Linked DNA regions of Drosophila melanogaster. The protein of the gene in region 2 purifies or fractionates together with the protein of the main gene of each other region. This does not show direct contact. Each region holds a gene or a part of one and is shown on either strand. Other genes may lie near its edges.

What was found. The genes of interacting proteins can lie anywhere in the genome.
Region 1: the proteins of Vps4 (region 2) and Rdh1 purify together in Drosophila melanogaster (affinity purification with mass spectrometry, with the first as the bait; one large-scale study listed by BioGRID). This does not show direct contact.
Region 3: the proteins of Vps4 (region 2) and Sec63 purify together in Drosophila melanogaster (affinity purification with mass spectrometry, with the first as the bait; one large-scale study listed by BioGRID). This does not show direct contact.

Annotation. Positions count from the first base shown.
Region 1 is NT_033778.4:7,662,554-7,668,906, reverse strand, and holds Rdh1 (retinol dehydrogenase 1), read right to left. Parts: upstream 3,080-6,353; 5' UTR 2,971-3,079; coding exon 2,891-2,970; intron 2,762-2,890; coding exon 2,498-2,761; intron 2,434-2,497; coding exon 2,277-2,433; intron 2,221-2,276; coding exon 1,961-2,220; intron 1,904-1,960; coding exon 1,672-1,903; 3' UTR 1,564-1,671; downstream 1-1,563. Other genes in the region: DCTN4-p62 (dynactin 4, p62 subunit), read left to right, coding at 1-1,506; CG2065 (uncharacterized protein), read right to left, coding at 3,783-4,011, 4,073-4,332, 4,398-4,554, 4,611-4,867; CG2070 (uncharacterized protein), read right to left, coding at 5,720-5,936, 5,992-6,353.
Region 2 is NC_004354.4:17,905,968-17,914,275, forward strand, and holds Vps4 (vacuolar protein sorting 4), read left to right. Parts: upstream 1-1,724; 5' UTR 1,725-1,884; intron 1,885-2,606; 5' UTR 2,607-2,610; coding exon 2,611-2,746; intron 2,747-2,840; coding exon 2,841-3,702; intron 3,703-3,813; coding exon 3,814-4,042; intron 4,043-4,110; coding exon 4,111-4,212; 3' UTR 4,213-5,130; downstream 5,131-8,308. Other genes in the region: CG7772 (uncharacterized protein), read right to left, coding at 208-370, 686-911, 985-1,090.
Region 3 is NT_037436.4:7,356,874-7,365,929, reverse strand, and holds Sec63 (secretory 63), read right to left. Parts: upstream 5,370-9,056; 5' UTR 5,023-5,369; coding exon 4,899-5,022; intron 4,292-4,898; exon of another isoform or gene 4,187-4,291; coding exon 3,477-4,186; exon of another isoform or gene 3,409-3,476; coding exon 2,160-3,408; intron 2,078-2,159; coding exon 1,899-2,077; 3' UTR 1,564-1,898; downstream 1-1,563. Other genes in the region: Sh3beta, read left to right, coding at 1-684; pst (pastrel), read left to right, coding at 5,906-6,009, 6,080-6,462, 6,541-7,079, 7,150-7,239, 7,315-7,484, 7,555-8,392.

The sequences.
Region 1 (6,353 bases), on a different chromosome or scaffold from region 2:
TCCTGCGGCATACTGAACCCGATCAACACGCTGTTCTTCTGCCGCCACTGCCCCAAGCTGCGCTGTGGCTTCTGCGTGACGCATGAGATCGAGTCGCACTTCTGCTCCAACTGCCTGGAAAACATTCCCTCCACAGAGGCGCGCCACAAGAAGAACTGTTGTGCGAACTGCTTCGACTGTCCTTGCTGCCAGCACACCCTTTCCGCCAGAGCATCTACCGTTCCGGTGGTGCGCAAGTCGGAGGAGGCGAAGGAACCAAAGGATGGCGACTCCAAGGGCGAAGCCACGCCCCCAGTCCCGGCGAGCAGCAAGCCCTCTGCGGTGCCCACCACAAAAAAGATGTACTATTTGTCGTGCTTGTCCTGCCGATGGACCACGCGAGATGTGGGCATTCCCGACCAAGGCGTGGCCACGGGCACCTGGCCGGATAACGAGTGCTTGTACCAGGCGCGATTTAATGCTCTGGTCGAGTACTTCCAGGCGGTGGTGCTGCAGGAGAAGCAGGAGAAACTGGAGTTCATGCGGCGCAAGGCACCCAAGCAGCACAAGTTTCCCAGTCTGACGGATCGCACTGGACTAACCGTCTCACTTATTCGCCGCCAAATCGGCTGGAACGACAAGGCTCCCAAGGCTAAAGCCGTGATAACGCCGGCAGAGGCCACGGCGGAGGTGGAGGGCCTGCCGGAGAACATTTTCACGGAACCCTTGAACTTGCGGAATGTGACAACCATCACCCAGCGACATAGCCAGCCGGCGGACCAGCCCACGGCCGTTGGGAGTCTTTATCCTCAGCGCAGGTCCCTGTGGATTAAGCGGTCGCTTCGTTGCCGCCAGTGCGAGCACAATCTAATCAAACCGGAGTACCATCCCACATCGATAAAGTACCGCATTCAGCACTTCGCCAGCTACCATGTTCCTGAAGTGGTGATGGTGCGCTGCGAGCAGCCACTGGTGGCAGGAAAAAGCAACGCCATTTTGCTGAAGCTCACGAATCCGACTATATACGATATGACAATTCGACTGTTGACTGCATCTCCTCCTGAGGATCCACAGCTGTCAACAGAGGCCACTCGTGTTGCGAAAGAGGAACCCATTTCTTCGTCCCCACTTCTAAAAGCAGTGGGCATCACACTGTCGCGTCAAAACTCAACACGGGAGGTAAAACGAGATGTGATTGATATATCCAATGCCGAAATAGTTCCGTTGGAGAGCGAGTTCGTTCTGAACCAGCGCGATGACTCGAAAGAGTTCGACGAGGACGTGCAACTGTCCACCGAGGAGCCCAAGTTTATTGTCTGGCGGAAGGGCAACAAGGTGCTTTTGCGGCTACAGTTTACCCCAGCAGAGGAGCTGTCCGGATTAGCAGACGTCGTTCTGGGCTTCTATATGCAGTACACATACGTCAACACCGTAAACAATGCGCAAGAGAAGAGGGAACCCACAACCCATGTGCTCCACTCCAGGGTGTTTATCACGGCGGGAGCAACTGAGCAGAAAGCCAACTAAACTGGAAACTTATTAGCCAACAGGCGTACTAATCGACTTATGCGAAATATGAAATATGCTTTATGAAAGCTAGAGAAATATGTATTTATTTATTAATCCGTTCGTGAAACAGCAGCTAGTATTCAAGTATAATAAAAGGCTTGTTCTAACACTATTCGTTCTTCTTTAGTTATTAGCTTCCAGCTTATCTAATCCGGTCCACTTCTCGCTCTCGGCCCACAGGAACTTGGCAACCTTATCGTCCAAGGCACCAGAAGCCACAGGCTTTGGTTTGCAGTCACTGAAGTACAGGCCAGAGATGTTCTTAAGCTCCGGATCCAAAGCAGCGTAAATCGAGGTCTGAGCTCCACTCTTCGGTGTCTTTAAAAGCGGCCAAATCATTGGCTTTAAAAAGAACCTAGGAAGGTTAACAGGTATTACTGGGAAGGTCCTAATTCACTTATTCATCACTTACTTCACAAGGTTTGTCTGGAAGAAGGCCCAGTTCCGCGCCAGCTCAGTGTCCACCACACCAGGGTGAAGGGCATTTACTGTGACTCCGCTGCCCTCCAAACGCTTGGCCAATTCCCGGGTGAACAGGACGTTGGCCAACTTGCTCTGGCTGTAGGCTAGGCCCTCATCATACGACTTCTCGCTGTTGAGGTCGGCTACGTTAATGGAGCCACGCGCATGTGCCAGACTGGACACAACGACAATGCGACTGGGAGCCGAGTTCTGAAATTTTGTAAGACCATTATCTGACGCACTTGACTATTATATAGCACACTTGCCTTCAGTACGTCGAGCAGCAAGTTAGTCAACAAAAAGTGACCAATATGATTTACTCCCAGCTGCAGTTCGTAGCCATCCTTGGTTAGGGTCTTGGGACAACGCATCACGCCGGCATTGTTGATCAGGACGTGAAGCTTGGGTTGCTCCTTCTTGAAGCTGATTGATAGGATAGGTTTTTAAATCTTACAGAGACAAGAAAATTCTCTGGAGGTAAGCTTACCCATCAACAAATTTGCGAATGGAGTCTAGGGAACTTAGGTCCAGCTCTCGAGAGAATATATTCTGGTTATTTGTCTCCTTGATGATATCCTTGCGGGCCTTTTCACATCGGTTCATATCCCTGCAAGCCAAGTACACAGTTCCCCCACGTCTGGCTATCTCCAGAGCCGTCTCCTTGCCAATGCCCGTGTTGGCACCGGTCACAATGAATACCTTTCCGGTCTCATCGGTGTCCTTCGTAAACTTTCCACCTTGCATGTACTCCCTGGAATTATCAATAGGAATTACCTGAAAAGCTGTTATCTATTACCCGGGGGAATCATAGTAGCGAGTCATGGATGCGTAGTCACACTGGTATATTTCATAATTACACGAAATAATTACCGCAACTCACTTCAAGAAGTAGATGCCCACGCCGATAGTAGCTGGCCACATAATCAAGGGGCTCAATAAGCAATCGATGAAAATGCACATTTTGAATATCTTTGTACAATTCCTTGTATTTAGGGTGTTGTCAGATCTTATTTCAATCGTTGAGTGCGTTCTGGTACGAACAGCACAGCTGTTAATATATTACTGAGCACAGCTACCCCACACAAACATATATTATCGCTAATTCGGAGTGAGAACCTGACGAAATGGAGAACGTCGGGAGAGAGATTCTTAACGAAGGTCAAGAGAAAACGAATTCTCAATAATATGTTATGATAGTGGAAAGCATTCAAACAAATAAAAGCAATTCCATTGATGTTTATATTTACTCAATGGGTATATTACGCGTGGAGTAAAAGGGTATAATAGGTTCGCTGAACAGTATGTAACATATAGAATAAAGTTTATATTTAGACTTGATCAGCAACACTAGTCAAAACGATCCATCCAGCCATATCCGTCCGTTTGAACGTCGAGATATAGGGAACTAACTGATTCGTTATGTTACATACATACTTTCCAACTAATTTAGTATACCCTCCTACTCCAGGAATAACGGGTACAAAAATAAAGCATGAATCATCCAAATTGATTCCATCACTTTTACAAAAAAAACAAAAGAATTTGACCATTTTTCTTTAGTACTGAACACAGAAATGCAACAATGTTGATCTCAAAATACAAATTTTAGATTAGGTAAAGCTTTTTTGGGAGCATTTCTTTATTTTCAGCTTGTAGAATCCGTAAGAATTCTACAATTCAAACATAAATTATTACATTTTGCGTTAGTCTTCATTATGATAAGCTATTAAAATAATAAATTATGAAATGGCGAGGGATAAACTAATGGTTGCTTAATCAACTTTGGTTGAATTCACGCCGGTCCACTTCTCGCTCTCCGCCCAGAGGAACTTTCCAGTCTTGTCGTCCTGGGCAGCTGCGGACACTTCCTTTGGCTGGCAGTCGCTAAAGTAGAGCCCGGAAACATCCTTTAGTGCAGGATCCAGGGCTGCGTAGAGAGTGGTCTGCGCTCCATTGCGAGGGGTTTTGAAGAGTACCCACAGGAGGGGCTTGAGCAGTAGCCTAAGCGATACGAGTGTTAATATCAAACTCAAGTAGTGCCCACTTATGTCTTCTATCTTACTGTGCAAAGGGGTGTTTCAGGAACTTCCAATTCCTCGACAGCTCCGTGTCCACGGCACCGGGATGTAGGGAGTTGGTTGTGACCCCCGTTCCCTCCAGGCGCTTGGCCAATTCCCGGGTGAACAGGACGTTGGCCAGCTTGCTCTGACTATAGGCACCGATTCTGCTGTACGACTTTTCACTGTTTAGGTCGGCAGTTTTAATGAAACCTTGGGTGTGCACCAGGCTGGAAACGTTCACGATGCGACTGGGTGCAGTTTTCTAGTGAGATTAAGCAGGGAGTTTGGTTAACAAGGTGCTAAGAAAGTCCTGAGTACCCAAAATACCTTCAATACGTCCAGCAGCAAGTGGGTGAGCAGGAAGTGTCCCATATGGTTGACTCCCAACTGCATTTCGAAGCCATCCTTGGTCAGTGTTCTGGGACAGTGCATAACTCCTGCATTGTTTATCAGGACATGAAGCTTATCCTGCTCTTTCTTGAATCTAATAAACGAGGGAAATCAGTAACGCATTCGTCGATCTATCATGTTTGCGTTTACCCAGCAGCGAATTTGCGAATGGATTCCAGCGAACTCAAGTCCAGTTCTCGAGAGAATATGTTCTGGTTATTTGTCTCCCTGATAATATCCTGGCGCGCCTTCTCGCACCGGTTCATATCCCGGCATGCCATGTACACAGTGCCTCCTCGCTTGGCAATCTCCAGGACCGTCTCCTTGCCAATGCCCGTGTTGGCACCGGTGACAATGAACACCTTGCCGGTCTCATCGGTCTGCTTGGTGAACTGACCGCCCTGCATGTATTTTCTGAAATTCATTAATTCTTATCACTCTATTTCAACACAGGCCGCAATTCACGAGCGTATTAATCATTACTCAGCAGTAGAACTATTCCATGCAAATACCTTAGCAAGTAGGCAGCCAGTCCGATAATGGACGGCCAAAAATGAGGGGGCAGCACAAGCAATTAGTAAGGCAGCCCATTTTGTTTGGATACAGTATAGATCTTGCCGCCGTTTGTGTTCGTTTCACTTGCTGGTTCTGTCAATGAATGTTTGCCCGTCCGTTTGGAACTGCCTTTTATACGAAATGTACGCTATCTGCTCCAAAATACACGAAAGCCACAAAACGCTTACTCACGATGAGTTTGATTCGAAACTGCGAGAGAACGAAATATGTTTGGGGTTTGCTGAGAGCTTTTTGCTTCTAGTTTATAAAAACCTCATTGCAAGTCGAGCAAATGCATGATAAGCTAAATAACTATCTGCAAGTCTAATTTAATTAATACCTAATCTTATAATACCATATTATTCTATTATTATTATTCTTATTTATATTCTATTATTTTCGATTAGTTTTTCACCTGCTTCTATGACAGCTCATGACTTAAACCGAAATCATATATTGCTAAATAGTTCAGATTCTAGTGACGCCAAGGCAACGTTAACTAAATGTTTATTTAAAAAATGCAATTACTAAATCAGTTTATTTAAGATTACTCAGATAACTGGTTCCAAGACTTCCAGCCAAATGTTTTTAAAATGTTTGTAATGTTTTTACAAAAGTTGAACAGAACATCTAGCTCATTTAGCTTATTCTATTAAATGTATTTCAACAATACAGGGTAAGAGTTAAAAGAGTCATAAAGTTGCTCATATATTAATTCCCGTCCACTTTTCACTTTCCGCCCATAGGAATTGGGCATCATCGTCATACTGGGCGGCCGAGCCCACGTGCTTCTGCTTGCAATCGCTGAAGTATCTTCCAGATACTTTTTCCAAACTGGGATCCAGGGCAGCGTACAGGGTCGTCTGTGCGCCATTCCTAGCCGTCTTTATGAATATCCATATAATAGGGGCTATGAGCAATCTAAAGGCGAGCCGAAAGTTAATAGCTGATGGGATGATGCAATCAGCAAACTTACTTTCCAAACCACGAACCCAAAAAGGGTGTATTGCGGAACAGTTCCGTGTTTACTACTCCGGGATGTAGGGCATTTACCGTGACCCCTGTTCCGCTCAGGCGTTTCGCCAACTCCCTGGTGAAGAGGACGTTGGCCAATTTGCTCTGACAGTAGGCCATCTTTCTGTCATAGGACTTTTCGCTGTTCAGGTCGTCACGCTTAATCCTTCCGAAGCGGTGAGCAATGCTGGACAGGACCACAACGCGACTGGGCGCGGAACTCTTCAGGACATCGAGAAGCAGAAGTGTGAGGAGGAAGTGGCCCATGTGATTCACTCCGATTTGCATTTCAAATCCGTCCTCCGTCAGCATTTTGGGGCAGTC
Region 2 (8,308 bases):
AAATTTTTTGCACTATTTTTTCCCCGTCCCAATGTCAATAAATAAAATGTTAAACTAGAAATTCTGGTCAATATGCAAACTGGATTTGGGGCTAAAGCTTTGCTACAGTTCATGTAAACTCTTAGTATCTAAGAACTATCACCGTGGAGTAGAATGGGAGTAGACTTGGAGTTGGGCCAATGCTGTGCACATCCCAGCTAGCGTTCACTACCGCACCGTCTTGCGGTAGGTGGCGTCCATCAGGCGGTCAACCATGCTGTCAATGGGATGGATGATAAGCGGTATGCTGGCCAGACCCACCAGGGTGGGCACCGTCTTTAGCACGGGCATAGGCGCTTTGCTCAGCAGTGTTTTGGTGGCCCAGGTGATCCTAAAACGATATAAATGAGCATTGCTTATTATGTGAACATAAACTCATAAAAATGGGTATGATCTTGGAGAGAACGATGACTTCATCGTGTATCTACAAATATACAATAAACCTGTTTTTGCAACATTGCACATGCCATTCTACTACGTATATGCACTCTATAGTATAATTTTTACTATGCTTATATAAGATAAGTATTATGCAACTAATGGAAAAAGGGAATCTTTAAGACGCCTCATTCCCTACTTCCAACTATGTAAATACAACCATTAAGTCTACGTTTTTGGGCAATTTTCTGGCAAGGGTTGAACGCACCGATTGATGACCAGGCCGGGAATGGCGACGGAGGCCAGCATCTGCCAGCAGAAGACGTCGCCGCCCTTGACGGCCACTTCTCTGGAGGAAGCGCCCTCCATTTGGAGGCGCAGTGCCTTGTCAAAAGTGTCCGTGCAGACGTATCCGATGGCCATGCCGTAGGATGCGGCCACCAGAGACTTGGGCACCAGCGGGCGGAAGGACTCGCCAATCTCGTTGCTGTAGCCTGCAAAGCCGTAACAATTAAACTCATATATTTCGATGGATCTGGGCAGATTCTGCTTGGGAGGAACACTCACCCATATAGCGAATGAAGGTGTCCCGGTAGATGTCCACCTCCTTCAAAGACGTGGAAGTTTTCTTGGTGCCCTTATCCCGGCGGATGAACTGTTTGTCCTCCGACATTGTCTATTTTTTTTATTTTTATTTTTTATTTTTGGAATGGCAGAAGTTCTAATGCTATTTTGATTTTCGAGTAATTGGGTAATATGACAAGATGATCTGATCTTCTCCAACTGACGCAAAATCAGCTGGCAACTGAGTTTCCTAAAAATTCATTGAAATCGCTTAAAATATCGCTTTAAATAAAATAATTAAAGCGCCTAACTGCCTATAAATTGGAGACTTAAAAACAAACTGTTTATATAAATATTTTAATTGCGCGTATCGATAATGTATTATTGTTATCGATTGTCAGAGCTAGTGGAAAAAACGCTAAAATCAGCTATTTATGGCGATTAAAATTTATAGGAATTTATAGCAATTATGAAATATCATATATTAGTTTTTATATTGTATTCGTTTTTTAATGAGCTAAGTCCATTTAATATCGCTTGCTATACACTTAATCATATAACATATGAGTTCCGAACTCTTTTAAGTTAAATAAAGTAATGTGAACAAATTGTCATATTGTCACATATGTGAATTTATTAGAGCTGGATTTTTGGCTACACTTTCAAAAACCGCGCCAAGTAATTTCACCTTTCCATGTGTGACCATTGCAGCTGCACCGCAATCTAAGGCCCAGCCCGCGCTGTGGTCACACTGACAAATAAAAAAAAACAAGACGTCGTCATTCGCGTTGGAATTCCAACAAAATAGTTAAGTTTTCCTTTTGTTTAACACCTGTCGAGTTAGCCAGCGAGTTAGTCAGTGACGCTTGCCGGAATTCCAGGAGCAAGTCAGCCAGCATAAATGTGAGTAATGGTCGGAACTGACCCGCCATCCCCTCCGCAGCCGCCCCGCAAAAAGTTGGCTACTTGTGTTTTTGTCAATGCCGCTGTATTCGGGCATTAGTCATGCCCAGAAATTCGATTTTGCTCGCGAACTGCGTCACCGAAGGACACTGAGTAGCAAGATGGGAGTTACTACTCCGCCAAGGATCAATTGGGTAACCATCGTCATCGGCCTGGCCAGCGAAACTCACGCCGAGATGATAGATTCCCAAGGGGAGGGGGGCTATTACAGCCCGAAATATATCAAAATTCTATGGAATCATTATGCTCGGGAAGTTTGGCATTACAATATGAGTTATAGAATCGTTTTGGATAGTGAGTGTAAAGCAATCAAAGGATATAAACAAAGCTGGGATCAGATCCAGTTGATTTTGCATAAATCGATATTGTAACTATATTTTTAGAACCTGTTTAATAACTTTATTTTGAACTTTATTCTATACATTATGCTCCATATTGCACAAATCGATTTGCCCACATATTTGTGGCATCTTTAGTTCTCTGTGTAGTAAAGTTGTAGGCTTTAAAATATGACAACTTAACTCTAAGCTGAGCAGAAATGATTAGAAAGCGGAAATTAAGATGATAAAATCCATAAGTAGTCCACGTTAAGCCTTGGTGGATAGTTCCTCCCATCAAAATGCCAGTTGAAATAATGATGTGTGAACGTTTGTAACTTCCAGCACCATGGCAGCCGGTACCACACTACAGAAGGCCATCGATCTGGTGACCAAGGCCACCGAGGAGGATCGAAATAAGAACTACGCGGAGGCACTGCGTCTGTATGAGCACGGGGTGGAGTACTTCCTGCACACCATCAAATGTAAGCAGTCCCATTAGTGCATCTAAAATGCACTTATACTCACTGAATAGAAGCAAGCTGACTACTAACTATCAAATTACTATCTAACGAGCAGATGAGGCACAGGGCGAGAAGGCCAAGGACTCGATACGGGCCAAGTGCCTGCAGTATTTGGACCGGGCCGAGAAGCTAAAGGAGTACCTGAAGAAGGGCAAAAAGAAACCGATCAAGGAGGGTGGTGAGTCCAGCGCCAAGGACGACAAGGACAAAAAGAGCGACAGCGATGACGAGGACGGCGACGATCCCGAGAAGAAGAAGCTGCAGAGCAAGCTGGAGGACGCCATTGTCATAGAGAAGCCAAAGGTTCAGTGGTCCGATGTCGCTGGCCTGGATGCCGCCAAGGAGGCGCTGAAGGAGGCCGTTATCCTGCCGATTAAATTCCCGCAGCTCTTCACTGGCAAGCGGATTCCGTGGAAGGGCATCCTGCTGTTCGGCCCGCCCGGTACCGGTAAATCCTATCTGGCCAAGGCCGTCGCCACCGAGGCCAATCGCTCCACATTCTTCTCGGTGTCCAGTTCGGATCTGATGTCCAAGTGGCTGGGCGAGTCCGAGAAGCTGGTCAAGAATCTCTTCGAACTGGCCCGCCAGCACAAGCCCTCCATTATCTTCATTGACGAGATCGATTCGATGTGCTCGGCGAGATCGGACAACGAGAACGACAGCGTGCGACGCATCAAGACCGAGTTTCTGGTGCAGATGCAGGGCGTGGGCAATGACACCGATGGCATTCTCGTTCTCGGCGCCACAAACATACCGTGGGTCCTCGACTCGGCCATTCGCCGTCGATTCGAGAAGCGCATCTACATTCCGCTGCCGGAGGCGCATGCCCGCCTCGTCATGTTCAAGATCCATCTGGGCAACACCACGCACGTGCTCACCGAGCAGGATCTCAAGGAGTTGGCCGGCAAAACCGAGGGGTAAATGCACTTTATAAACTATTTGCTTCACTATCACACAAAATTGATCCATTGTTTATAATGTTTATATGTAAGCATATTTAACTAAGTGAATGATTTTCCGTTTTGCAGCTACTCTGGCGCGGATATATCAATCGTTGTGCGCGATGCGCTGATGGAACCCGTGAGGAAAGTGCAGACCGCCACGCATTTCAAGCGGGTATCCGGTCCGAGTCCCACCAACCACGAGGAGATTGTCAACGATTTGCTGGTTCCGTGCTCACCTGGCGACCAGGGCGCCGTCGAGATGAACTGGATGGATGTGCCCAGCGACAAGCTCTTCGAACCGCCCGTGACCATGGTACGGCATCCTTAGCTATCAACCTTTTTTCGCAGTGCCAATAATCTTTCTTGAACTTCTACATCCAGCGCGACATGCTGAAGTCCTTGTCCCGCACGAAACCGACCGTCAACGAAGACGATCTGAAGAAGCTGCGCAAATTCACAGAGGACTTTGGGCAGGAGGGCTAGACACGAACCCCGCCAGATATCGTCAGCACCACCAGCTAATTCTAATTGTTGCCTATTGCATAAATTCAAACACGTTTTACTTCTGGCTCTCCTTAAACATTTTTTTTATTTTATATATATATATAATGTATACATACGATATATGGTTAAAATTTAATTCAAATTTGTCGTTCGATTGCAACCGGAGATGAAGGACATGCAGTGAGCGTGAAGCGGGTGGATCTGTGGATTGTTGTAATCACAAAGTCAATGTATTTTTGTACTCTTAATGTTAAGCGACGGAAGAAACCCGATATCCAGCCTGAAGTTTGAAACCTAATGTAATATGAGTGTCCGCCGCGCTTGCGCAATATTTGCCACTCGGACTTGCCACGGACACCTCAGATCAGAGCAGCACCAATCAGCGGAGGAGCTGGAGCTAGAGCTGTAGAAGCAGAAGGAGAAGAAGGAGCAGAAGCAGGAGCAGTTTGCGGAGTTTAAGCGCAGTCGAGCAAACCTATTTAACTTGTAACGTACCAGAAATAAAAACGAAAATTGTATACCATGTATGACGACGTAGCGGGAATGCCAATTGCCAGTGGAATCGTCGCGGGGATTCCCCGCCGCCGCAAGTGACCCCATTTCAAAGTGAGCCACCAGGTGGGTGGGTGGCCGGTGGACGGAATGGAGAAACTGAGCGCCGAGAGTATCAGCGGCAGAATGCGAGAGTCTCAGCCGTCTGGCCCACATGCCAAGTGCGATAAGATCTTTCCAGCTCACCAGCATATGTGCGCTTGTTCCTGGCCGATCGACCAGATATCGAGCATACTGCGAGCTGCGCACAGTGGGCAATGACCTATTTGTATGGAGCAAACTAAAAGAAACCTACTGATGCCATAGTTGAAATATTTTTATAACACAAAAATTGCATTTCTCTGTTGCTGCTCTTCCTTTGCATTGGTTCTTTATATATATATATTTTTTTTTAAATATTTTTCCCTTTTCCCTAGTTTTAAGCATTTAAGTCCATCGAAAATAAATGCTATAAAAATGAAAATATCTTTATTTTATAGCGTTGCTTTAAGTAGATTGATTTGTAATATTTGAGACATTTTGAATGTAGTTTTTTAGTATGAATTATTATGTTATTTCCTATTGTAAGCTTTTTGCCCATCAGCTCCACTGTGCGCTGCCGAATGCTGCCGAGCAGTGATTGTGCTCTTCGGCTCTTCGACTTCGCCTTCGGATCGCTGGGTTTTCGCGTTCGGTTCGTGAGTTTTGAGCCGTGCTTTGAGCCAGAGTTTCAGTTGATCTTCGGCCGCAAAGGCTAGAGGTTTGAATATTGTGGGATCGGTCCGCTATAGGTTTTTCGCTATATTTCGCCCGCACATCGGCAGTTCCGTTACGTGAGTGCAGCGCCGTCGTCTGCGCTGCATGAGGCCAAAGATACAAGCCGAAAAGATACAGATACACGGCGACAACGTTTCTCGGTTGGTTTTGCGCAACTTTGTGAAAAGCGTGATAGAGCCCAGATACGAAAAAAAAGTGCGTATTTGTTGTGATTTGTTTTTGTTTGCGTTTGGCGTGCAAGTGACATTTGTTTTTCCAAGGTGCATTAATTACCTGGCTCAGGGGCCTGGCCCTTACCTTACACACCTTATTTTAGCTCTTTTTTTTAAAGTGCGGTCTGTGGTGCACAAAGGAAAATATTCATTATTTATCACGATATAAAATAATGTCCTGCTTATTCAATAAGTATCAGCATTTTTTAAATGTTTTTTTTTTAATAAGAATTAATTTTTACGTTGGCTTATAACTTTGTGGATTTTGTATCGTAAATCGTTTTGCAGCATGGTTTTCATTAAATAAAGTGTTACTAAAATGTAGCATTCCTATCTTCTGTGTTGTATGTTGCTTTAAGCTTCTAAATCAGTAATATTTTAATATTTAATTAGTATTAATATATTTACATAAATTTGAGATACTGCAAGTAGCGTAGATGCTGATGCTAGTAGCATTTAGTGGATTTAAAGGAGCGCTGTTGGAAGGGTCAACCAAAGTGGGCAGGCGTTTCTCGCAGTGCACATGGGCTGCTGCTGCTGCTGCTGCCCCGACGAAGCGCAACTTTCACGCGCTTCAGGTGAAAACCGTGAGCCGGGTCTCAAATGAGCGAAATGAAGAAGAAGTCGAGTTAAAGCCGCACAGCAGCCGAACTCTCATGATTTGTTGTTGTTTTCGGTGTTGTTATTATTGGTAAGGTTGATGCTGTTGTTGCCGATGTGACTCTGTTTTTTCCCCCACATTCGCATTGTTTTAACCATTTGTTTCTTGGTTTTTTTTTTTTTTTTGCGTGCTTCACTTTGTGTTTTCGGCTACTGTTTTTTGTGTCAGTCGCCGTTTTGCGAAACTATTTCAGAAATGCATATTTCTTGCGGCTCAAATGTGTGTGTCCAACTGACTGAGTTATGCGCACGAAGAGCCTTTCATCATCATTGTGGCCACTAGCAGTTTTCTTCCAGTGTTCCACTGCTTGCACTTCTCGCACTGCACTGCTTGCATCCAGTTTGTTTGGTTTTTCTTTTGGCCACCAGGTGCATATTATGCATTATTCGATTAAACTTGTTTGCAGACGCACTGACATCAACACCTGACCTCCCCCCGCCCCCAGCCCCTTGTGGATCAGAAAAAAACTTTAAATCATGCTGACATTGACACGAATTGTCGCCGCCAGCAACAACTGAAAAAAAAAACTCCAAGAGCCAACAAACAAAAGTCAAATCATACAATTTAAAGTTGAGTTCCAAGCAAAACTGCCAACTTAAAATTTATGACTAAGATCTGTGGTGCGCGCTCCAAAATTAAAGTGCATAAAATTCCATCAATGCCACTGCTGGCCAACAGCAATGAATTATATTAATTTGGCTTACAAATTTGTATTTGGTCAAGTCAGTGGCACATTGCACCGCAAGAAAATTGTGCACATAAAGGGGTAGTTTCGATTTTAATCATATGCCATTTTGCTTCACTAACTGATGTTTTATTATGCAAATTTAGCTAAGTGGCTTTTATCACATTGATCTTGCAGGCAGTTGATACAGTTGCAGTTGCAACAAAGTTTCAACTCAAATTATATCGAAAACAAATGGAAAGGGCTAAAAACAATTAAGGAATATACTGCAACTATTTCTTTCCGTGTCTTCATTTGAAATTGCATTTGAAGTCGAAGCAAACGGATCGAAGACCCAGCGAACAATCAACTCCATTTGATTGTCGGTTGTTGATTGGATCGATTAGCCCGAGGAACAAGGTCGTTTACCACGCATATTATTAAATGCAAATGGGCATTATGTCTGCTAAACGCTGGAAAATTTCCTCGAGTGATTCAAGCATAATTTTGTTGGATAATAGCTGCGTTAAGTGTATTTACATCAATTTCGGCCTTAAGCTTCAATACTCCTGTTGTTATATTGCACATTTTACTTGCCTTACTACCAAAAGTTCACAGCAATGAAAAGCATAATTGCCTGGAAAGGAGACCATAAAAAAGCAGCGCAAGCAAATTAAATTTCTTTTGTTCTTGACAAAGCGGAGCGTGGCAAACAATTAAAACAGAATAATTATATTTAATATCGTGTGTTAATTGTGGCTGTCATTACGATGGTCGTGTGAGTGGAAAGCCAAAGATAAGTCAGAGTTCTGGATTTTCCGTCTGAGATTCTGGGAAAGATCTGCACAGAGATACTGGGTTTTAGATGCATGCGAGTTTAGGTTTAGGTTTCCTAATATATTCCCTCATAATTTCTATGTTGCAAACGTGCCTTAGACACTCTATATATATTTTCTTAATTAAGCTAAATTTGATTTTGTATGTATGTAGTATATATATACCTGACCCTTTTTCTCGTCTAGTGAATAAATTCTGGCGGTTCTCTCTGCTTTTCATTGCTCTTTTCATCTCATTGTCGTTGGGTAACTGGGCCAGAAAGTCTTTCATAAGACTAGAAATGATATGGCAGTGCCTGATTAGGTCAACACGTTCCATGAACCATAACTGGTAACTTGATGCTGTCGCCGGGAAATGACAAAAGAGTTAGCACTGGTATTCGGGTACGGAGCA
Region 3 (9,056 bases), on a different chromosome or scaffold from region 2:
ACTGAAAAATCCGAGGATGTTAAAGATAAATTAGAGGGAAGTGAGGAGACCGCAGAAACATCGGAGGATGCTGACACTACTGAGAAACCAGATGTTGAGGCCACCAATGATGATGGGGATACAAAATCGGAGAAAAACGAGACGCAAGAAAAGTCCGAGGAAGTTGATGCCGTTGAAGAATCAGAGGCCGAAAGCTCCAAGGAAAAAACGGAGGAAAATGACACCAAAGGCACCAAAGTCAATGAGAATGATAAAGACGAGGATGTTGAAGAAAAGACCGAGGAAAATGCAACAGAAGAGTCCGCGGACTCGGATAGTGCTACCAAATCAGAGGTTAAAAGTACCGAAGATGATGAGGTTGTAGAATCGGAGGATGTGAAAGATGAATTCGAAGAAAATGAGACCAACAAAAAGGTCGAGGAAGTTGGTAGTACTGAAATATCCGAGGTTGTAAGTACGGAAAACGAAAAATTTGAAGATATTAAAGAAAATCCTAATGAAAATGAGGCTCAAGAAAAGCCCGAAGAAGTTATGACTGCCGAAAGATCTGTAGAGGAAACCAAAGAGGAAGAACCAATCGACGAGGAAAAACCTGCAGAAACGAAGACAGAAGACACGCCCGAAAATGAAGAAAGCAAACCGGATGGCGAGAATTCCTCTTCCGAAGAAAGCGAAGAAGAGTAAAAGAAAATCGATTGAACGACAACAAAAAACGCACTGACATCCGCATCACAAACACCAATGCACAAAACGCACACATACACACACACGCACATAAAAAAACGCACATTTAGCCAAATAATACCAAAAATGTTTTGTAAATAGAAACAAGAACCCACTAATAACGAGTCTGGTGACGGGTAATGAACCCTAGTTTAGGCCTTTATGTGACTTATTTACAATTTTTACTCCTTTCCCAAAACAAACAACAAAAAACTCGCTGCTGTCTACAACAACAATGAAAGAAGTTACCAGCGACCACAACAACAACAGCAGCATCAGCTAAGAAGACTTCAGATTCCCAATCGGATCTCTTATTGGACAGCGAGCGGGCAGCGGCTGCGCAGTAGGCGTCGACGTCAGCGCAGACAGAGGCAGCGCCAACTTTGATTTAAATTATTTTTATGATTTCCACAAACTATTCGGGCTTGTTGCAATTCTCACTTGTTTTTGCTGATTTATTATTTTATGTGTCGATACTCTAACAATGATACAACCGTTTTTTATTTATTACAAAATTAATTTACTTTTGCGCTAAAATATATTCAAATTCTAAAAGCTGTAAGCAATTAGTTTATCCAAAGGCTTAGCAAAAATGTAATAAAAAAAAAAACTTAAAAATTGCTAAGGTTTAGGCGTGGTCAATAACTTGAATGGTTTAAATTAAAGTAATTGTGATGCTATTTATTTAATTGAATAAAATGTTAATCTAGAAATTCAGCAAATTGTGCAGTAAATTTATGTTAATTCAGCATTAAAGTGAGCGAAAGTAGCAACAAGCCCGTGGGTTTTTCTTTCTCAGTTTATAACACAACAAAAGAGTAGTAATATCAATAGACTTTTGTATTTACGTGTCTCACTTTTAGTTCTTGTATCCAAATAATTAAATATACAGTACATTATAATTATGTTTAGTACAGTACACGGTAAAATGAAGTTATAGTTATTTACGCACTAGTTCGGGGTCTTTTCCATTACAAAACTAGTAAAAATGCGAAGGAAGGGTTCGCATTGGTGTGCCTCCGCCACGCGCCACGCGAAACTCATTTACTAAAAGGAAAACAAAGAGGCTTCTCTTCCGTCCCAGTGAATTAGAGAGGAGGTTGAGGTTGATTGGGGTTCAGGACGTCTATCCATCCGTCCGTCCGTCCGTCGCACTGTCCATGTAGACAGTGGATTTATTCGCCGTCCTCCTCATCGGACGTATCTGTTGTATAGTCGCTCAGGTTCTCCTGCTGATCGGTGTGCTCCGGTTCCGATTCGCTCAGATCCCACTGAGGATGATCCGTCGGTGGTGCGGGAGCCTTCTGTACATCCAACTTCAGCTCCTGCTGCTGATCCATACCCAAATACGAGTCTGAAACAGAGGAAACATTGTGTGAGAATCCCCCCTTCGAATGCCAATGTACTATGCAATCCAAACTCTTTTAGAAACTCACCCGATCTCAGGCAAACGGTGAACGTGTAGACGCCCGGCCAGCGCGGCGCGGTAAACTTCAGCTGGATCTCCTCCTTCTCGACCAGATTGGTCACATGATAGGGCGCTGTGAGCAGGGTGCGCGACTTGCGATCGCATATGTAGGTCCACCAGTACTCCTGCTTCTCCTCGGGGAAGTAGGGGCAGTGGACGGTGTGCGACAGCCGAGACTTGCCCTCGAGACGCTCCCTCTTGTTAAGCTTAGCTTGCAGTCGCTCCCACTCCTCGTCATCGTCGTCGTCCAGCGAGGAGTTGTTCTTGCCCTTCTCCTCATCCTCGCTGCCACTGCCGGCAGCCGATTCCACATCGCTGCCATCCGCATTTCCAGCCTCCGATTCGGCATCGGAGTTACCCGCCGCCGCTTGATCCTCGGATGCCGTGATCGTAGCTGTTGTCGCAGCCTTGGCCGGCACCTTCTTCTGGTTCTTTTGGTTCTGGGCTGGTTTCTTACCACCCTTTCCCTTGCCACCCTTACGTGGCTTGGCCCAGGCAGAAGCCTTCTTGACCGGCGCAGCGGCAGCAGCCTCATCCTCATCACCGGCAGCCTCCTCATTGGTCTCATCCTTGATGCCCTGCTTCTCAGGCGCCTTTGTGTCACCGAATAGCGTCTTCATGTCCTTGCGCTCCAGCGTAACCGTGACCGTAACTATGGCCCCGGCGGTCACCACATTGGTGTTCTCATCGTCGATAACCTCGCAGCGAATGGAGAAGTCAATCAGCGGCATCTTGCCCAGCACTTTCATCGTGTTCTCGTACTCAAAGTCAGATAGGTTCTTCAGAAGCTGACGGCTCTCCTCCGGCTTGAGCTGGGCGAATTGCTGCAGGTTCTTGACGTGCCTCTTCTTGTTCATAAAGTACAGATGGTCCTCGGTGAGATGGGGCAGCTGCAGCAGTGGCGATTTGAACTCCCACAGGCCTTGGATAATCATCGGCGACATTTTCATGCAGTTCTCAATCGTTTCGATGCTGGGCAGGCGGGGCACACGTCGGGCATAGGCCATCATGACCAGCTGGTGAACGCAGGAGACCATTTCTTGCACCAAATACGGGCACTTCTTCACCACAAACTGGCGATCGCGCTCCAGAGTTTCCGGATTGAGGGGCATGCGACTGAGATGGGCATGCAGGATGGCGCGAGCCTTGATGGAGTACATGCGGCACAGCGGATGCTCCTTGCACTTCTCATTCAGATTGGGCAGCTGTCTAATCAGCTGTATTCGAAAAGGAAGTGTTATTAGTGAGCGAACAACGAATGGAAATTCCAATAAAATGCACTCACCGCCGGCACCTCGTCATTGTCCGACTGCCGCTCCTGGACCTGCGAGTTGTGTCGCTTGTCAAACTCCAAACTGGCTGCCAGAACCATAAGTGCCCGCTTGAGCAGCATGTGCGGTGTCTTGTGGATGAAGTAAAAGTACATCTGAGTGGTATCGAGCAGCACTTTGTCGCCACTGAAGCGGATGGAGCGGTACCACCAAACACCCACTGCCGAGGGCATGGCCACCATGAAGACCAGGCCGTACAGACCCAAAACCCAAACGCTATTCTCCTTCTCCACAATCCACGAGGGCAGGGCGATGCCAAAGGACATGGCACCCGGTCCATCCGGATTACCATACTTCTCGTAGTTCTCCTTTGCCACATCGTCGGTCAGCGCCTGGTACGCTTTGCTCAGCATCATGAAGGACTTCTCGTCACCCGTCTCCTTGTCGGGATGGAGCACCTTGGACAGCCGGTAGTAGGCCTTCTTGATCTCGGCCTGCGACGACGTCGGCGGCACATTCAGGATCTCGAAGGGATCGAAGCTGGCCATCTCGTAGTCGAACTGCGAGACGCGGTACGTGAGGAAGAGCAGTAGGGCCCACCCCAGCACTATGGTCAGCTTGATGGTCCATGACGTGAGAGCTCTGTACGGCTCGGCATTGGCCAAGATGGTCTTCTTTTTCTGGCAGTCGGCGCACTGACATTCCTCTTTAAGTTTGCTGTTATCTGCAAGTATGTGTACGAAAATTGGGTCAGTACGGGGATTATATAGGCTATTTTAAAATATTTGAAATTTATCATTTTCACTTAAGATGGCTAATAAAATGATTTAAAAAAAAAACGATCTTTACAGGTACCTGCTAACCTGATTACGATTAAAATTAGTTGAGGTCTGTCTACGCATATTGCATTTTTTTTTTTACCGGGAATGCCAGCGCTACAGAAATGAAAATCTCGCGAGAGGAAAATCGTGAGAGAGCAGCCGATTGGTCAGTGAGCGTGTGTGCAAAGTGCACAAGCACAGCATGATCGCGATAAGTCAAAGGTAACTTGCTCATAATCACTCCTCCTCCACCGATCACGATGATAGGTAAGTTATCACGATATTAGCGACGCATGGACGCTTGTGGAGCGTTGAGTGCGCTGTCCCAATTGGAAAACGAAGAGAGCTCGACTTGCGGTAATCGCAGCGCAGCTTTCACCCATACGAAGACGATGAGCTGACGTTGTTAGAATAACTTATTGGAACGTGTCCATTTAGTTTGTTGGTGGCGGCGGGAGGGTTAGAGCAGGAGAGCGTGGTAATCACATGTATGTCTATGCCTTCGCCTTACTGGCACTCACTTACACACATACACACGCGCACAGCTGCAGGTGGAAAATTAAAAAACAAGAGCGGAGAGAGTGCGATTTAAATCGGCTGGCAAGCGGCACTTACCTTGTTTCTTTTTACGTGGCCAATAGTAAATGGTGGTCGGTATCAATATTAGCGCCAAGAACGATAACACAAAGTAGTAGAACGTTCCGCCGCTCTCATCATACTGAAACTTTTGACCCGCCATCTCCGACAGCGACTATATGTATTTTGTATTTTGTCTGGCACTGCCTTTTGGCTCCGTTCCGTTCCGTTCCTTTCTCTGCCGCCGCTTTCCCCTGCACTTTTCCTCCGGCAGATCCAGCTGATGTTGCTGTCGCGTTGGAGTTATCGCTACAATCGCTGCGCCCCGTGGATTCTCGATCGACACGCGGCGATCTGCGAGATTCGAATGGGGCAGGAGCTGGTGTTGTTGCTGCTGCTGCTGCAAGATATCGCGAGATTGGCACGCCGCGAACTTAAAAAACTCTGTATTTACACCGACGCATGAGACTGACACGTAGGGTTGTTTGGCTCGTGCTGGAACCGATAGGCGTAGCTGGAGCGGAGCCGGTTCGATTGCACGGCTATCGATAGGCGGGAGGCAGCATTCATAGTTTAGGGTTGCCAAAGCTGGCAGTACTAAGTTTAGAATCTGATTTTTTAGGTCACCAAGTACTAAAAATGTTTGCAAGCAAAACTTTTGTCAGCAAGTTTTCAATGTAAATGTATATTTTTAAATGGATTTGCCTATATATATATATATATATATTTTTTTTTTTTATAATATAATATGTGCTCGCTAGAAATACAAAGCAAATATCTGATTAGCATGAGCTCATCGTCTCGTTACATTTTGGGTTTAGCACGCTAGCAGCTTTTTAAATTTTGCTCACCAAAGAAGGTGACGGTGGAATACGGGGTATTCATATAAAGGTATGATCCCTAGAGAGCTTTTCTGCCGTCTTGCCTTTTCGGTATTTCGAGTACGATCGTTCAATTAGTGTGCGCCTTAACTTAAAAGCTGGTGATTCCGTGGCACAACTCCATTAGCAGCACAACTGTGGCAACGGAAAGGTGACAACTTAGGGATGGCGAATAGATTAGGAAACCATGAAGTTACCCGCACCGCACGTGAAGTGCAGCAAAACTTTGCCGAGTCGCTCGGCTACGCGGAAGAGATAATCTGGGATCTGTAAGTACTGCTACTGCGCATTAGAATTTTGAATTCAAAGTATTTGGGGTAATGACGTAACCCCTTACAGGTTGTCCCATGAACAACATGACGTGCTAAGGGGCAAACTCTGTCAATTGATTCGTGATTCTCCGGAACCGAAAACTGCAACGGAAACTGAAAAAGACAGAAAAATCCGGCTGAAGGTCAACGCAGATAATGAGCGCGCCCGTCAGATCATTTTCGATTCCGTTTGGCAGCAACGTGAGTTGGACTTACAGATTGTATATAGTATAGTACATTTTTTCGCTGCCTTAACTGCGTACAATTGTTTTCCAGGAAAGTATACCAACCGTCAATCGCTGACGGCGATCATTTACGTAATGGTGGTAACTGACGAAACGGACGTCAATCGCGCCGAGGACGCCAGAGTCTTCAGCGTGCACCCAGTCTTTCGGGCCCGTCGATGCGTCGGTGAGTCATCCTTTGCATACGTATGCAATTTACAATATATTTCCTATCTATCTATCAATGGATCCATTTAATACTCAGTTGGCAGTAGTGGCACCAGCAGCGTCAGCTCGAATTGCTGCAATCTGTTTATCGACGAGCTTGGTCGGGTCTACCAAAACTGGGAGATGTATGTGACCACCAACGAGTTGCCTGCCGGAGTGATGGTGGCCCCAGAGAAGGGTATTTACCGCTTGGTCAGGGATCAAGTACGTCTGGATAAGTACACAACGCCGGCGGGCACGACCAACAGGAAGGTGCTGGGCTACCTGGATACTGGGTCGGCAGTCGGAGGATTTTTTGCTGCCTGTGTGCCCATTGCTGCCCTGCTAACGCTGCCCGTATCCGCTCCGCTGATGGGCGCAGCGGGAGTAGTAGGTTTGGCCAGTGCTGGATACGCCGCATCGCGGTCTGGCAGCAAGCTATTCGATCGCAGCCAACATGAGCAGTCTATCAATGTGACGGACCGCGAAGCGCGTGGTCACTGGTTGGGCGTGGCTGGTGGCACTGTGGGATTGGCAGCGGCTGGGGCCACCACAGTCTTGACAACGGCCACAAATGCTGGACGCGAGGTGGGAGCGGTGAGTCCTTAAACCCCCCCCCCCACGCAATCAACAATGGAATAAAAATGTTAAATATGTACTCACATAGATCACCCAACTGACTGTGAATAGCATGAACATATCCTCGATTGTGGTATCGGGCACTGGAGTTGCCAATGGTGTGCTGGATCTGATATTGGCAAGTCTCGAAACTTAGACTGTGATTAGATTAGGCTAGATAGATTAAACTTATGAAATTTATGATCTTCCACAGAAAGCAAAAGACGGTGACGAAATAGTTGCGATGGATGTTTTGCAATTGTCCGCTTCGTTGGTGCTGCTCACGCACAGCGTCTACAACTTTAAATTGGCTTCGACCATAATTAATGAGACAAGCAATGCTAATATTGCCGACTATCGTAAAAACCTTTCTAATAGGCAGCGGTAAAAAACGTTCAATGAGATACATTCTGTCGTAAACAAGAGTTTCTACTTGTATTTTTTTTACCATCAGGCGAACCTTTGACAAGGCTGCCAAGGAGACCGTTCGGATGCAAGGCAACACTCGCGGCAAACTGGACATTATACGCAACGTAAACGAAATTTCGCCACAAGAGTTTAATGATCTTTTTAAGATCAACAAAAACTTGAATCAGGAGGGCGTGCGATACTCATTCGCACCCGATGGCAAAGGATTTTTACTAAATGGCGATGTGCAGACGACGGGTGCGGAATTGCGAGCTAGTGTACAACATAACCAAGGAGGGAATGTCCTAGGCAAAGTTAGTCAGCCCATTCCCGGTAGCCATGCGGGTTCTGGTCGCCTTCAACTGGGCGGCGTTAATCAGGTTTCCCGTCTAATCGGACCGCTGCCCACATCCCATCCTCGACAGGAACCCAGTACCTATGCCGCCGGCGTGTTCGCCTTGGAGCTAAGCTCTGTGTTGGTGGGCGGTGTTGTTTTCGTACTGGAGAAATACGGAAAAATCATATTTGAGCACGTGATCAATGCTGAAAGTTTTGAGAGCCTAATCAACATCATGGCCAATAAGCTTGATCCAAAAGTCTTTGACCATATAATGCTATTGACCAGAGCCTTCATGGACACCATGCTGGAAGACCTCACCTCGGTGCTAAAGTTCTTTATATCAACGGAATCCGTTCTTTACCGCATTTTGTTGTACATTTTACGGAACTTCGAGGACGTGCAACTTTCGGTTATTGCGGATCACACTTGTGAGATCGTAGAAGCCGTAAGGGTGTACTTCATGTCCCTGAATCCAAATGCGTTCCCGGGTCTCCTTCAGAAGTGTCCGAAATGTATCGGCCACTTCAGCGTTTGTCCCTTGTAAGTGTTTAACGAAATGGTTCGTTTAACATTAGAATTCAAGGGCCATCAGCATGTCATAATTGATGCCCAATTGTTTAACCACAAAGAAACGTTAGCTAGTTCCGCAAATAATCAATGGGATAACTTACTTAATATGAGCACAAATTGACAAAGATGAAATTGTTTTAGCATTTAAATAAAGATTTTATTAACCCTGTTGAAATAATTGTAATAAAAGGAGAATTTTGAACCGGAATGGTTCTGATTTCCGGTTTTCGAACACAGAATATGTGAATCATTCATTGTGTAAAGGGGATTTTTTTTAATCTTTAAGAGTAATTCCTAAATTTACAATCTGATGTCATCTATACTATGGTATAATAGCAACAGCCATACCACCAAATCATTGAATGCCTTAGAATATAAGTCATAAATTCAAGTATCCCATAAGAACAACCCCAATTCTGGTGACAATAACAAATCCAGCCTGCCCTAATGTAACCATTAACATCTGCTGCCGAATCCGTTATTCCCACCAAAGGGTCAAAACCGCTAACGCAGCTCAAGTTCTCGGCTGATCAGTACCCATGAGCGATCCATCCACTCAAGAGGGCACCCAATCCAACAGACATAAACATCCGCAGGGGCTTTCGCGACATCAAAACCGCTTACGCAGCCCAAATCCT